2 linked regions of the Arabidopsis thaliana genome follow. The protein of the gene in region 1 interacts with the protein of each later gene in a biochemical or structural test. Each region holds a gene or a part of one and is shown in the gene's direction. Other genes may lie near its edges. The genes, in order: ATHB-15 and ZPR3.

The links.
Region 2: the proteins of ATHB-15 (region 1) and ZPR3 form a complex in vitro, tested with the Arabidopsis thaliana proteins (one study listed by BioGRID).

Annotation. Positions count from the first base shown.
Region 1 is NC_003070.9:19,408,966-19,416,718, reverse strand, and holds ATHB-15 (Homeobox-leucine zipper family protein / lipid-binding START domain-containing protein), read left to right. Parts: upstream 1-2,040; 5' UTR 2,041-2,757; coding exon 2,758-2,966; intron 2,967-3,075; coding exon 3,076-3,235; intron 3,236-3,356; coding exon 3,357-3,457; intron 3,458-3,553; coding exon 3,554-3,644; intron 3,645-3,733; coding exon 3,734-3,829; intron 3,830-3,932; coding exon 3,933-4,046; intron 4,047-4,132; coding exon 4,133-4,216; intron 4,217-4,290; coding exon 4,291-4,446; intron 4,447-4,527; coding exon 4,528-4,602; intron 4,603-4,696; coding exon 4,697-4,809; intron 4,810-4,896; coding exon 4,897-5,086; intron 5,087-5,171; coding exon 5,172-5,348; intron 5,349-5,435; coding exon 5,436-5,516; intron 5,517-5,599; coding exon 5,600-5,734; intron 5,735-5,807; coding exon 5,808-6,136; intron 6,137-6,228; coding exon 6,229-6,334; intron 6,335-6,430; coding exon 6,431-6,580; coding exon of another isoform or gene 6,581-6,601; exon of another isoform or gene 6,602-6,659; coding exon 6,660-6,806; 3' UTR 6,807-7,008; downstream 7,009-7,753. UniProt on the Arabidopsis thaliana protein: Probable transcription factor involved in the regulation of meristem development to promote lateral organ formation. May regulates procambial and vascular tissue formation or maintenance, and vascular development in inflorescence stems.
Region 2 is NC_003074.8:19,556,737-19,561,131, reverse strand, and holds ZPR3 (binding protein), read left to right. Parts: upstream 1-1,808; 5' UTR 1,809-2,220; intron 2,221-3,024; 5' UTR 3,025-3,037; coding exon 3,038-3,241; 3' UTR 3,242-3,616; downstream 3,617-4,395. UniProt on the Arabidopsis thaliana protein: Competitive inhibitor of the HD-ZIPIII transcription factors in shoot apical meristem (SAM) development. Acts by forming non-functional heterodimers. Part of a negative feedback loop. Involved in SAM development and lateral organ patterning.

The DNA of each region.
Region 1 (7,753 bases):
ACTACAATCTACATTTAACAAATGTCTTTTTTTCCCATAACAATTAACAATGTTAATTTGATCAGAATAACATTTGATGTTAAATCTCAGCTATGCTAAACCTCTAAGTCTAAACACCTAACATCAGATCATCAAGTCGACGAGCTTTGAGATCATTAGAGAAAAGGATCTTGAAGCAAAGCAACAAGAACACCTCCATTTTGACTACAATAATGAATTTATTCCTAGTTTCATTTGGGTCAAGGGTCCGCTTGATTCTGACTTGCCGAACAGTGATATTCGTTCCATAACTATGGAAAAACATTTCTTTTATAAGATTTAGCATCTGACGAAAGATCTGATCCATCTTCCAAAGTATACAGGCCATAATGTAGATACACCAGAAGCTAAATCTTGAAAAAGCAGAGAGATTGCTTCACTAATTTGGCAGTTGCATGAACCGAAGCAAGCAATCAACTATAACCAGTAGAAAAATCTCCTGCAAATATAGCAATCTTTTTTTGTTATGAGTAAAAAAACAAACGAAATTAATCATTCTATTTTTCCAAATAGAACAATCAGTGGACAGATTGAATATCAGTGACCTATATAGCCTATATGAAACAAGTCCACCAATTGCAACAGCCGTGATACATAATGGACTGGGCTGAATTTAGGCCCGATATGAAGATAGCGGTCCAACGTTTAATTAAAACAGTCAATTCTACACTTTTTTGTGTGTACGTACTCTATAATGAAAATATATTGGTAATTGAAAAAGTTAAGACTTGAATTGAAACCACTTAAAGAAGAATTGAATTCATCATGATGAACAATTCAAATCAGTAGTATAATACAATTCTTTTACAGGCATTATTGGGAAAATGAAGGAATAGTACTAGTTAAATTAAAATATTTGAAAGAGAGTTGACAAAATAAAAGAAAGAAATTTGAGAATAGAGAAAAAGAAAGAAGGAAAGAAAGAAAGTGAAGCTTCAGCTTTAAGACGGAGGAGACGCATGCAAAGAAGGTAATGATGTTGTCTCTGTCTCCTACGCAGACCTCTCTCCCACGCCTTTTGTTATTTTTTATACGCCTCTGACCTTCCCCATTCCTTCTTACCTTTATTACCCTCCTATTCACTCTTTTACCACTCGTTTACTACTAGTTAAAACTTAGAAGTAGTAATATTTATTGGTATAAACCTCATTAATTTCATATTGTGGGCATAAATGTAGGAGTATAAGATTAGCATCCGTTAGAGATTAGTCACAAACATTACAACATTAAACGTTAACATTATCTATGTTGTTTTCCATGATTAGATCGAAGAAATTGCATGACCATATCAATGTGCTGTTAGTTCAGTGATAAATCTTTTAGGTGGAAGTGCTGAGTTCGAAACATATTGGGATGAATCTCTTTTCCATAAAAGATGAATTTAACCGAGTGTTTTTGAGTCTGAATTTTCAAATATTAAAAAAAAAAAGAAAATTGCATGACCATAATTTTTTTATTTATAAATATAAAAACTATAGTATAATAAAAAAACTATAGTATAACAATAGGTAATTTTCACAAATAGCAAAAAAATAAAATTTATTACACTAGTATAAGCATTTGATTGCCTTTCTCTTCAATTTGACTGCCTTTTTCTCGTTTACAATTTTCACTGATTATATATTTGAGAATGTTTTAAGCTTTAATTAACCTTTTTTTAACCTTTTGGAACAATTTTTTTGACAATTATACCTATTTAGACCATTTTCGTAGAGTAAACAAGAGAAATTTGGTTTTCCCTCGAGGTGTTGTTGTTTGTTGGTTTATGAAATTGAAATGTGCCAATCATAAAAAAAAACAAAAGAAAATGCCAACGAAAAAGCTAATTTCACAAACGCAACAGCACTATCAAATCACATTATTAAAATAATATTATTATTTTAAGGCCAAAAAAAAAAATCAAAGTTGCCATGAACGAGCTAGAGGAAAAAAAACACACAAAGTAGATAACATCTAAAAACAACAAAACAGTACAGTAGCTCCATGATTCGTTTTCTACATACATCTCTTCTTCATCCTCTCTTCTACTTTCCTCTTTCCTCTTTCCTTCTTCGAATAAATTTCTAGGGTTTTTCTTTTCTCTAAAGTTTTCATTTTTATTTCAATGAGAGCTCGAAGAAGGAGAATATGGGTTTGAGAACTGATAATATTATGGCTTCGTTTCGAGGTGGAATCGGGGTTTCTAATGGCTGAGTCAACTCGGTGATTCTGTGTTATAGTCACGAGCAAATATAAAAAAGTTTGTAACTTTCTTGTTTTTTTAGGTGTGTGTGTTCAGAGAAAAGGTCGAATCTTTTTTCGGTGTTTGTAAAAGGGAAAGTTGTAATCTTAAAGTCTGTTTTTCTTTCTTGTGTTTTGGTATTTAGCTCATAAAAGCCGAGGAGTAATATAAAGGATAGGTTTTGTCTTTGTGTGCCCTTTTGAGATTGCATGAAGAAAAAAAGCCTCTAGTGTGTTTTGAAGGAAACAGAATTCGATATTTATGCGGTAATGTGATTTGTGAAGCTACTCCAAGTGCTTAGGATTTGAGATGGCTTAGATTTGGTAGTTGTTCAAGCTGTGGAGTTTGTGGTGGACTAAGAAGCTCTCTGTCTCCTTTGTTTAGTATGTTGTGGTTATCTTCTGTTTAGAAGGATTTAGTTATTCATCTGGAGGGGGTAGTAGGGTCATTTGTGAGATTCTGTGATTGTGAAATAAGAAGAGTTTTGCTGAGGAGTAATGGCAATGTCTTGCAAGGATGGTAAGTTGGGATGTTTGGATAATGGGAAGTATGTGAGGTATACACCTGAACAAGTTGAAGCACTTGAGAGGCTTTATCATGACTGTCCTAAACCGAGTTCTATTCGCCGTCAGCAGTTGATCAGAGAGTGTCCTATTCTCTCTAACATTGAGCCTAAACAGATCAAAGTGTGGTTTCAGAACCGAAGGTAATAACAATGTTCCTTGCTTGGGAATTGTAGTGAATGGAAGTTTCTGTGGTGTTCTCTCTATCTACTTGATCTAATCTTTGTTTTGTGTTTCTGTTATGAACTTTAGATGTAGAGAGAAACAAAGGAAAGAGGCTTCACGGCTTCAAGCTGTGAATCGGAAGTTGACGGCAATGAACAAGCTCTTGATGGAGGAGAATGACAGGTTGCAGAAGCAAGTGTCACAGCTGGTCCATGAAAACAGCTACTTCCGTCAACATACTCCAAATGTGAGGATTCTACTCCTGCAATATCTTCATTTTTCTTATCTTAATAATCACTAGAATGTTTTCTTTAAGAATAATAATATCCTTTTAATGGTATGTGTATCGATTTGTCTTTTTTTTTCAGCCTTCACTCCCAGCTAAAGACACAAGCTGTGAATCGGTGGTGACGAGTGGTCAGCACCAATTGGCATCTCAAAATCCTCAGAGAGATGCTAGTCCTGCAGGGTTGGTTCTTTAATTGGAATATGGTTACTCTGTTAGTTAAAAACTACACTTTTGTCATATTTTTCTGAGATTCATTGATACATGTTATGTTTTCAGACTTTTGTCCATTGCAGAAGAAACTTTAGCAGAGTTTCTTTCAAAGGCAACTGGAACCGCTGTTGAGTGGGTTCAGATGCCTGGAATGAAGGTATTTTATTCCTCTAGTTTTGTTTTTGTTAATTGGATATAGTTATTCTGCTTTTTCCTCAATGGTTGTTTTTGTATTTTCCGTAACAGCCTGGTCCGGATTCCATTGGAATCATCGCTATTTCTCATGGTTGCACTGGTGTGGCAGCACGCGCCTGTGGCCTAGTGGGTCTTGAGCCTACAAGGGTGCGTTTATAGAATCATTCTCATCGCTGATTTATACAATCTTATACTACTCTACATGTGTCTACATATGTAACAACATTCATCTGTTTTCACTATTTTACAGGTTGCAGAGATTGTCAAGGATCGTCCTTCGTGGTTCCGCGAATGTCGAGCTGTTGAAGTTATGAACGTGTTGCCAACTGCCAATGGTGGAACCGTTGAGCTGCTTTATATGCAGGTTAGTTTTAAACCATAAGTGCTACACAGTTAGAATTATTTTTCTAAAGTTGAAAATAGTAACCATCATCCTCTTCGTAATTGCAGCTCTATGCACCAACTACATTGGCCCCACCACGCGATTTCTGGCTGTTACGTTACACCTCTGTTTTAGAAGATGGCAGCCTTGTGGTATGTAGCTTTTCTTTTCTGTCAGTGTTCTTATTCATGTTGATCCATTTCACAAGGTTTAAGAAATCTTATAGGTGTGCGAGAGATCTCTTAAGAGCACTCAAAATGGTCCTAGTATGCCACTGGTTCAGAATTTTGTGAGAGCAGAGATGCTTTCCAGTGGGTACTTGATACGGCCTTGTGATGGTGGTGGCTCAATCATACACATAGTGGATCATATGGATTTGGAGGTAACGAGCCTCACTCTGCACCAATTCTAATGGTCTTGGAAATGTTAACCAAACTGTTTGGATATTTGTTCACTTAAATAGGCTTGTAGCGTGCCTGAGGTCTTGCGCCCGCTCTATGAGTCACCCAAAGTACTTGCACAGAAGACAACAATGGCGGTATGTTAATTAAACTCATTTATTCCCTAAAGCTCATTCTGATATTGAAACTACTGTTCTCAAATGATGCATACAAATCGAATTTGTCTCAAAGGCACTGCGTCAGCTCAAGCAAATAGCTCAGGAGGTTACTCAGACTAATAGTAGTGTTAATGGGTGGGGACGGCGTCCTGCTGCCTTAAGAGCTCTCAGCCAGAGGCTAAGCAGGTTTATATACAATTACGATTTGCCTCTTCTTATTGGTGGGTTTGTGTCCTTTATATTTGCCTCTTCTTATAAAATTTTTCCCTACAGAGGCTTCAATGAAGCTGTAAATGGTTTCACTGATGAAGGATGGTCAGTGATAGGAGATAGCATGGATGATGTCACAATCACTGTAAACTCTTCTCCAGACAAGCTAATGGGTCTAAATCTTACATTTGCCAATGGCTTTGCTCCTGTAAGCAATGTTGTTTTATGCGCAAAAGCATCAATGCTTTTACAGGTCAGTGCACCATTTTTTTTATAGATCAACTGATGATTGTTTCAACACTTTTTCACCTTCTTTTTATGGGATTTTGCACCTACAGAATGTTCCTCCGGCGATCCTGCTTCGGTTTCTGAGGGAGCATAGGTCAGAATGGGCTGACAACAACATTGATGCGTATCTAGCAGCAGCAGTTAAAGTAGGGCCTTGTAGTGCCCGAGTTGGAGGATTTGGAGGGCAGGTTATACTTCCACTTGCTCATACTATTGAGCATGAAGAGGTTAGTTTAATTTTCTTCGATGAACTTAATGTTTTTCTTTTATCTCCATAATATAAGTTGAATAATGGTTGGTTTTTTTTCATTCAGTTTATGGAAGTCATCAAATTGGAAGGTCTTGGTCATTCCCCTGAAGATGCAATCGTTCCAAGAGATATCTTCCTTCTTCAAGTAAGTACTTTAGGTTGTCTATTTTGCATAAGGTTTTAATGTTGGTCTCTAGTACCTGAAATAATTTTTTTTTTGGTTATTAGCTTTGTAGCGGAATGGATGAAAATGCTGTAGGAACCTGTGCGGAACTTATATTTGCTCCAATCGATGCTTCGTTTGCGGATGATGCACCTCTGCTTCCTTCTGGTTTTCGTATTATCCCTCTTGATTCCGCAAAGGTAAATAAAAGTTATGTTTTCTGTCCAAGTCTTCTATTATTCAGATTCTTAAGCTTTTCTTGAACCAAAAAAGCAGGAAGTATCTAGCCCAAACCGAACCTTGGATCTTGCTTCGGCACTGGAAATTGGTTCAGCTGGAACAAAAGCCTCAACTGATCAATCAGGAAACTCCACATGTGCAAGATCTGTGATGACAATAGCATTTGAGTTTGGTATCGAGAGCCATATGCAAGAACATGTAGCATCCATGGCTAGGCAGTATGTTCGAGGTATCATATCATCGGTGCAGAGAGTAGCATTGGCTCTTTCTCCTTCTCATATCAGCTCACAAGTTGGTCTACGCACTCCTTTGGGTACTCCTGAAGCCCAAACACTTGCTCGTTGGATTTGCCAGAGTTACAGGTATAAACCAAACTATCAAATATGTTCTAATTTTCCCACCAAATCAACAATGTTTAGTTTACTAAGATGACTCATTTACCCATTGATAATAGGGGCTACATGGGTGTTGAGCTACTTAAATCAAACAGTGACGGCAATGAATCTATTCTTAAGAATCTTTGGCATCACACTGATGCTATAATCTGCTGCTCAATGAAGGTAACAAACACAATGTTAAACACATAAATGTGTATTCGATAGGAGTACTTGACTCGTGTATTCGCTGATCTGTTTTGGGATTTGAACATCGGTTAGGCCTTGCCCGTCTTCACATTTGCAAACCAGGCGGGACTTGACATGCTGGAGACTACATTAGTTGCTCTTCAAGACATCTCTTTAGAGAAGATATTTGATGACAATGGAAGAAAGACTCTTTGCTCTGAGTTCCCACAGATCATGCAACAGGTTCTTAGAAACATTTTCTGATCTTCATTCTTATCACATATGTTTAGTTTTATCGACTTACTAGGATCTATTTTTTCAGGGCTTCGCGTGCCTTCAAGGCGGGATATGTCTCTCAAGCATGGGGAGACCAGTTTCGTATGAGAGAGCAGTTGCTTGGAAAGTACTCAATGAAGAAGAAAATGCTCATTGCATCTGCTTTGTGTTCATCAATTGGTCCTTTGTGTGAGATTTATTGTATTTTGTATTTTCAGACTAAGCTTTTGCCTTTTGGCTGTATTGTAAAACGGTCATGTTGTTGTTGTTGTTGTTGTTGTTCTTGATGTTGCTGTGAACACGTAAAACAGTGTTTTGTTTCAAAACTCAAGAAATGCTTGCTTAATTTGTAGTTTGATTAAGAGTGATAATGATGATCTTTTTCTTTTCTTGTTATTAGTACATTTTAGCTTTCTAAAGTTTTATTCGACTTCTTTACAAAGAAATTTTGCCCATCACACAATTTATCTTTTTTCCTTTCCTAAAATGTATGACAATCATTACACTCAACCATGACCATCTCTATCTGGTGTAGGTTTCCACAGCGACAAATTGGATTGTTTAGGATAAGGTTGAGAATTTTTTTTCTTATAAAGAAAAATAACCAGAGAGATATTAAAATCTAGACTTATCTTTGGAAGTTCTGAAGAATTCGATATTTATGGTGTTTATAGGCTAACTCTATAATTTTGAGCTATTCATTTTTGCTTGAGTGAACCATAAAGTTGGTTCCATACTTCCATGTCTATGAAAACTTGACGAAATGAAAATTTCAAAACACGGAAATAATTCAATTTCAATCAAAGGAAAAACAACATTAATGTCGGCCATTAGTTTAGGATGAATATTGTGTGCCAATAATAGAAAAAGAGTTATTTGTTTTTAATTTGAAACTCAATATCCTCATAAAGATATTAAGAAAAGGATGCAGCAATTATTTAACACATAAAGCAAGACCTATAAAATCCGTATATAGATATTATGGCTATCATACATAGTGCAATCTAAAGTACAAAAAAAAGTTGATATTTAAGAGTTTATTATAGCTCTCTTCCACCTTAAATTGTATTTTTGTTTCTACTTTTCCATTATTTGAGTTGAGTAATATTATCTGAGTCTTACCAGTGGTTACATGTTTGT
Region 2 (4,395 bases), on another chromosome or scaffold:
GTGCAATGATAATGTTTGCATGCAGTCTAATATGAACACACTTTACACCTTATGAATTCTGAATCGTCTGGCGCAAACATCTAACCACCAAAAACCTAAAAAAACAATCAGAAGAACGAAGAATGGAGAATAGAACAGAGAATCATTTATGTGAGATTTGATTTACCTAACTCTTCCGCCACCACCGACGCAGCAGATGATGCGACATCAATCGCCGGTAAATCAATCTCGGGTATAGCAATCGAACCACTGCGCACATCGCCTTCGAGGTGGATGTGGACTCCTTCAAATAAAGAGATTTCAGTACTTTTCTTGTGCAAAAGAGGCATGCTCCATCATACAACATGAATGTATACATACAGTAGTACGTAGCAAAATGAAATATACGTCATATAAACACAAACTTATATAGACTTTTAATCAGTTAAATTACGGTATATTTTTTTAATTCGTTTGTGTTTATATTATAAAGTTCAAAAAAGATTAGGTTAGATTAACAAAGGAGAAAATAACTAGAAAATTCCAATTAATTAATAAAAGCGAAATATAGTTTCTCTGAATGGTAATCTAATATTCTATACCAAACATTTACTACATTAATAGGGGTTACCAAAACCGAATATTTGAATATTCTTAGGTTTTTGAAATTTACATGGTAAAGAGACAAAGTTTTCAACCTTTTTGGGGTGTGAAAATTGGTCCGACTGGGTTATGATTAACCAAAATTAATCCTAGAACCAACTATATTTATAAATTAAAGTTTCATTTTATAAATAAAAATCAACACCAAACCGAATTGTCAAACTTAGACCAAAGCAATGAGGGGTAGAAACGGCATTGCATAGGCCAGCAAGAAATGAAGCTGCTCACACCTTTAAAATCATTGCCTTTGGTGTAAGCAAGTGTACCCACTCTTTAGTTCCATTTCAAGACACACCTACTTAATACTAATTGTGTTTCAGTTTTGTTTAACTTCTACAATCAGCATATTTACAAAAAACACAATTTCTCACATTTATTCCGTGAAAGAAGGGTTAAAAGAAGCCGTACAAGATTTATATACACAAGCCAAAGTAGTTTTAAATAAACGTGAAATTGTAGTCATCTTCTTTTTGGGGGTTAAGTCATGGGCAAACGAACGAGTTTTATTCAAAGGCATGTGAAGTTACGAAAAAAAGAGAAGTCATAAATACATCCAAAAACAACCACCTCACTGTTTATGATGTTTCACGTTCTACAACACTTTTGATCCATGATTATTTTTTGTAGGTTTTACGGCTCCAAAGTCCAAACACTCTTCTTCTTCATTATTTCTTTCTTTTTTTCTTCTCCCACCATAATTATATCAAATCTTGAATGCTGAGACAATATAAGAGGACAAAAAAATGCATTTTCAAATTGTGGTATACTATGATTTTCATACAAAGAAAAAAGTAACAAATAGTTTAACACACAAAGGAAACTATTTGTATCCGAAATAATAATCTAAAACATAATAATGGTGGAGTGTAATATTTGAACTAAACCAAGATTGAGCTAACCGGGACATGAGATGGGGAAAGAGAGCATTTACAAAATGGTCCAAAACGGTTGAAATAGAATCATGAAGGATGATGGTTCGAACCAATCTTTACCATCATTGCGAATCTTTAGAGGTCGATGGCCTCTTCTACTATAGCCCCTCTCATTAGTCCTACACAAATGACAATATTACCCTCCTCTGTACTACTTCCTTCGTAATGACGTAAATACCCTTACTCTAGTTCTTTTAACCGAATCTTCTGTTTAGAGGACGAATACGATGAAGAGCCAAAGGAAGTGCTAGGGGATCTTTCGGAAATTACGAAAATATCCCTGAAGATCAATTTCGAAAGAAGAGCAAGCAAGAAAACTCCTTTTTTTTTTCTTCTCTCTCTCTAACTTCTTTCTCTTTAATAAATCATCATCATTCACATGACGCAATATGCACAAATCTCCTCTCTCTCTCTCTCTTCTTGCGGCCGCCATCTATGCAGAAACACAACACAATGCATGATTGTTGTGTCAGGAGAGAGAAGGTTCTTTCTCTTTCTCTTTAGCTTTTGGGGATCTATATAACAGACAGTGTCTCACTTTGTTCTCTTTGTCCCTCTACCTTCTCTACACACACAAACTAGCGTCTCTCTTCTCTCTCTCAATCTTTCTTCGTTATCTCTGCTTCTCAACACTCCTTCCCAAAAGGTATAACCTCTATTCTCCTTCTCTCTCTCTCACTCTCTTACTGTTCTAGAAGCTTAACGTGAGTTTTCTCGACATGCTCTGTTTCTGTTTCTTGCTCTGTTATCTATCGCTTTTGCGTTCATACGTTAAGATAATAGTTATGTAGTAACGTCACACGTACAACTAACGTGAAGACAAACCCTTAATTTCTCTCTTTTTCTATGTTAAAACTTTTTCATCTTTTAAAATATTCCTCAATGATGGAAAGTTTTTAATCTTTATCTTTTTCTTTGAGGCAACCGAAATAAATAAAAAAAATTGTTTGATTTTTCTTTTTAATAGTCTGTATTGCTACGATCACCATCTTTGTTTTGTTGCTTACTCTGTTTTTTTCTAGCGTTTCAAATATAATCATTACTCTCTCTGTCCATAGAGGTTAAAACATTTATAATTACTGCATATATATCATCATGATTACTTGTTTTTATCTCTTTTCTTCAATTTCTTTCTCTTTATTAGCTTTATCTTTTTATCCTCCATACAAATTTATAATCATGTTCTTCTTCTCTCTTTGATCATTGATTTCATAAAAAGAAGAAAAAGAAATTCACATGAAAACGAAATAAATGCGACAAATGATTTTTCCTATAGCTAATGTAATTCACATCCGACGTGTGAAGCTGCACAACCCATGTGTGATGTAATGATTTAACATGAACAATAATAATCATAACACAAGCTTTGGTTTTATTGATATTATTACTCTCTTTTTCTCATTTATTTTTCAAAATTCGTAATAATACTTTTGTTTTGTTTTACTTGTAGCAAGAAAGCAGAAATGGAGAGGCTAAACTCGAAGCTGTTTGTTGAAAACTGTTACATAATGAAAGAGAACGAGAGACTAAGGAAGAAAGCTGAGCTTCTGAATCAAGAGAACCAACAGCTTTTGTTTCAACTCAAACAGAAACTCTCCAAAACTAAGAACTCTAACAATGGATCAAACAATGACAACAAATCAAGCTCTGCTTCTGGACAATCTTGATTTAAATCAAGAATACGTTAGAGCAAGAGATCTCGAATCCGTACGTAGGAGAAGATTAAAAGAAGACCCAACCTTTTGGAAGTATTTTATTTTGTTTGGTGTATTATAGGAAGATAAGTAGTATCGAGCACTGTAGTAGTTATTATGAAAAGAAGATTCTGTTTTATTACAAGAAGACAGTGTCTCTCTGTTAGTCTTCTCAGTCATATTTTTACTTTTGTTTCTATTTTCTATGTTAATTAAAGATCCTCTGGTGTGGGGTTGGGGACTTTAGGATATGGTTGATTCTTGGACTAACATTTTGTACCTTTGCTCCATTTATCAAATATTGTCAAGTGCATATCAATCAACTAATGTATCGTATATAACATGGGGACAAGTTATTCGATTTTTATAATCATATACAAAACGCATTCAATATTGATATATCATCTCATACAAAAACAAAAGTGACCCATTTTGTCCATGATATTTTCCGATCGAGTAAGACAGTAAGTGGAAACTGAATCGTTGAATTGACACTAATTATTCATCAGGATTAGCAAACACTTCTTAAGTATAAATAGGTCTATGTAATTTTCAAGTAGACTAGAGTAGAGGAAATGAGGAAGAAAAACAATATTAATAGTAGTGTTTGTGTATATATAGTCTACATGTGTTGTAGCAAGTTCAATGAAAGCTTTATCCTAACATTCTAAATTGAAATGATTTAATTATTATGCCATGTGCATCTGAACAATTTAATTATTATGGTTCAAACCAGTTGTTGATAATATTGGTCATGTAAATCATTTCCTTCAACAACAGTAATACTGGATAAAACCTCAGAATGGATAATATCAGAATACTATAGCTTTAAATAGACCAAAATTGATGCTACGTCAAATTTACACACACTCTTGGGTTTGAATATGAATTATAAACTCCAGTCACTCTCTAAATGTGTATATCTATTTTTTTTTTTTTTTTGTTATGATGGATGAATTGAGCATAAAATGTTAACTAATTAATTAAATTTTTAAAAACTAAATAATTTCCCAATATTCGTTTGGAATATATATTTTCCATTTAGAAAATAAAAGAAAAAGGAGGGCAGAAGGTGTCATGACATGAGATTCAAGCGGCTCTGTCCAGAGAGATGAGACAAGGGGCTT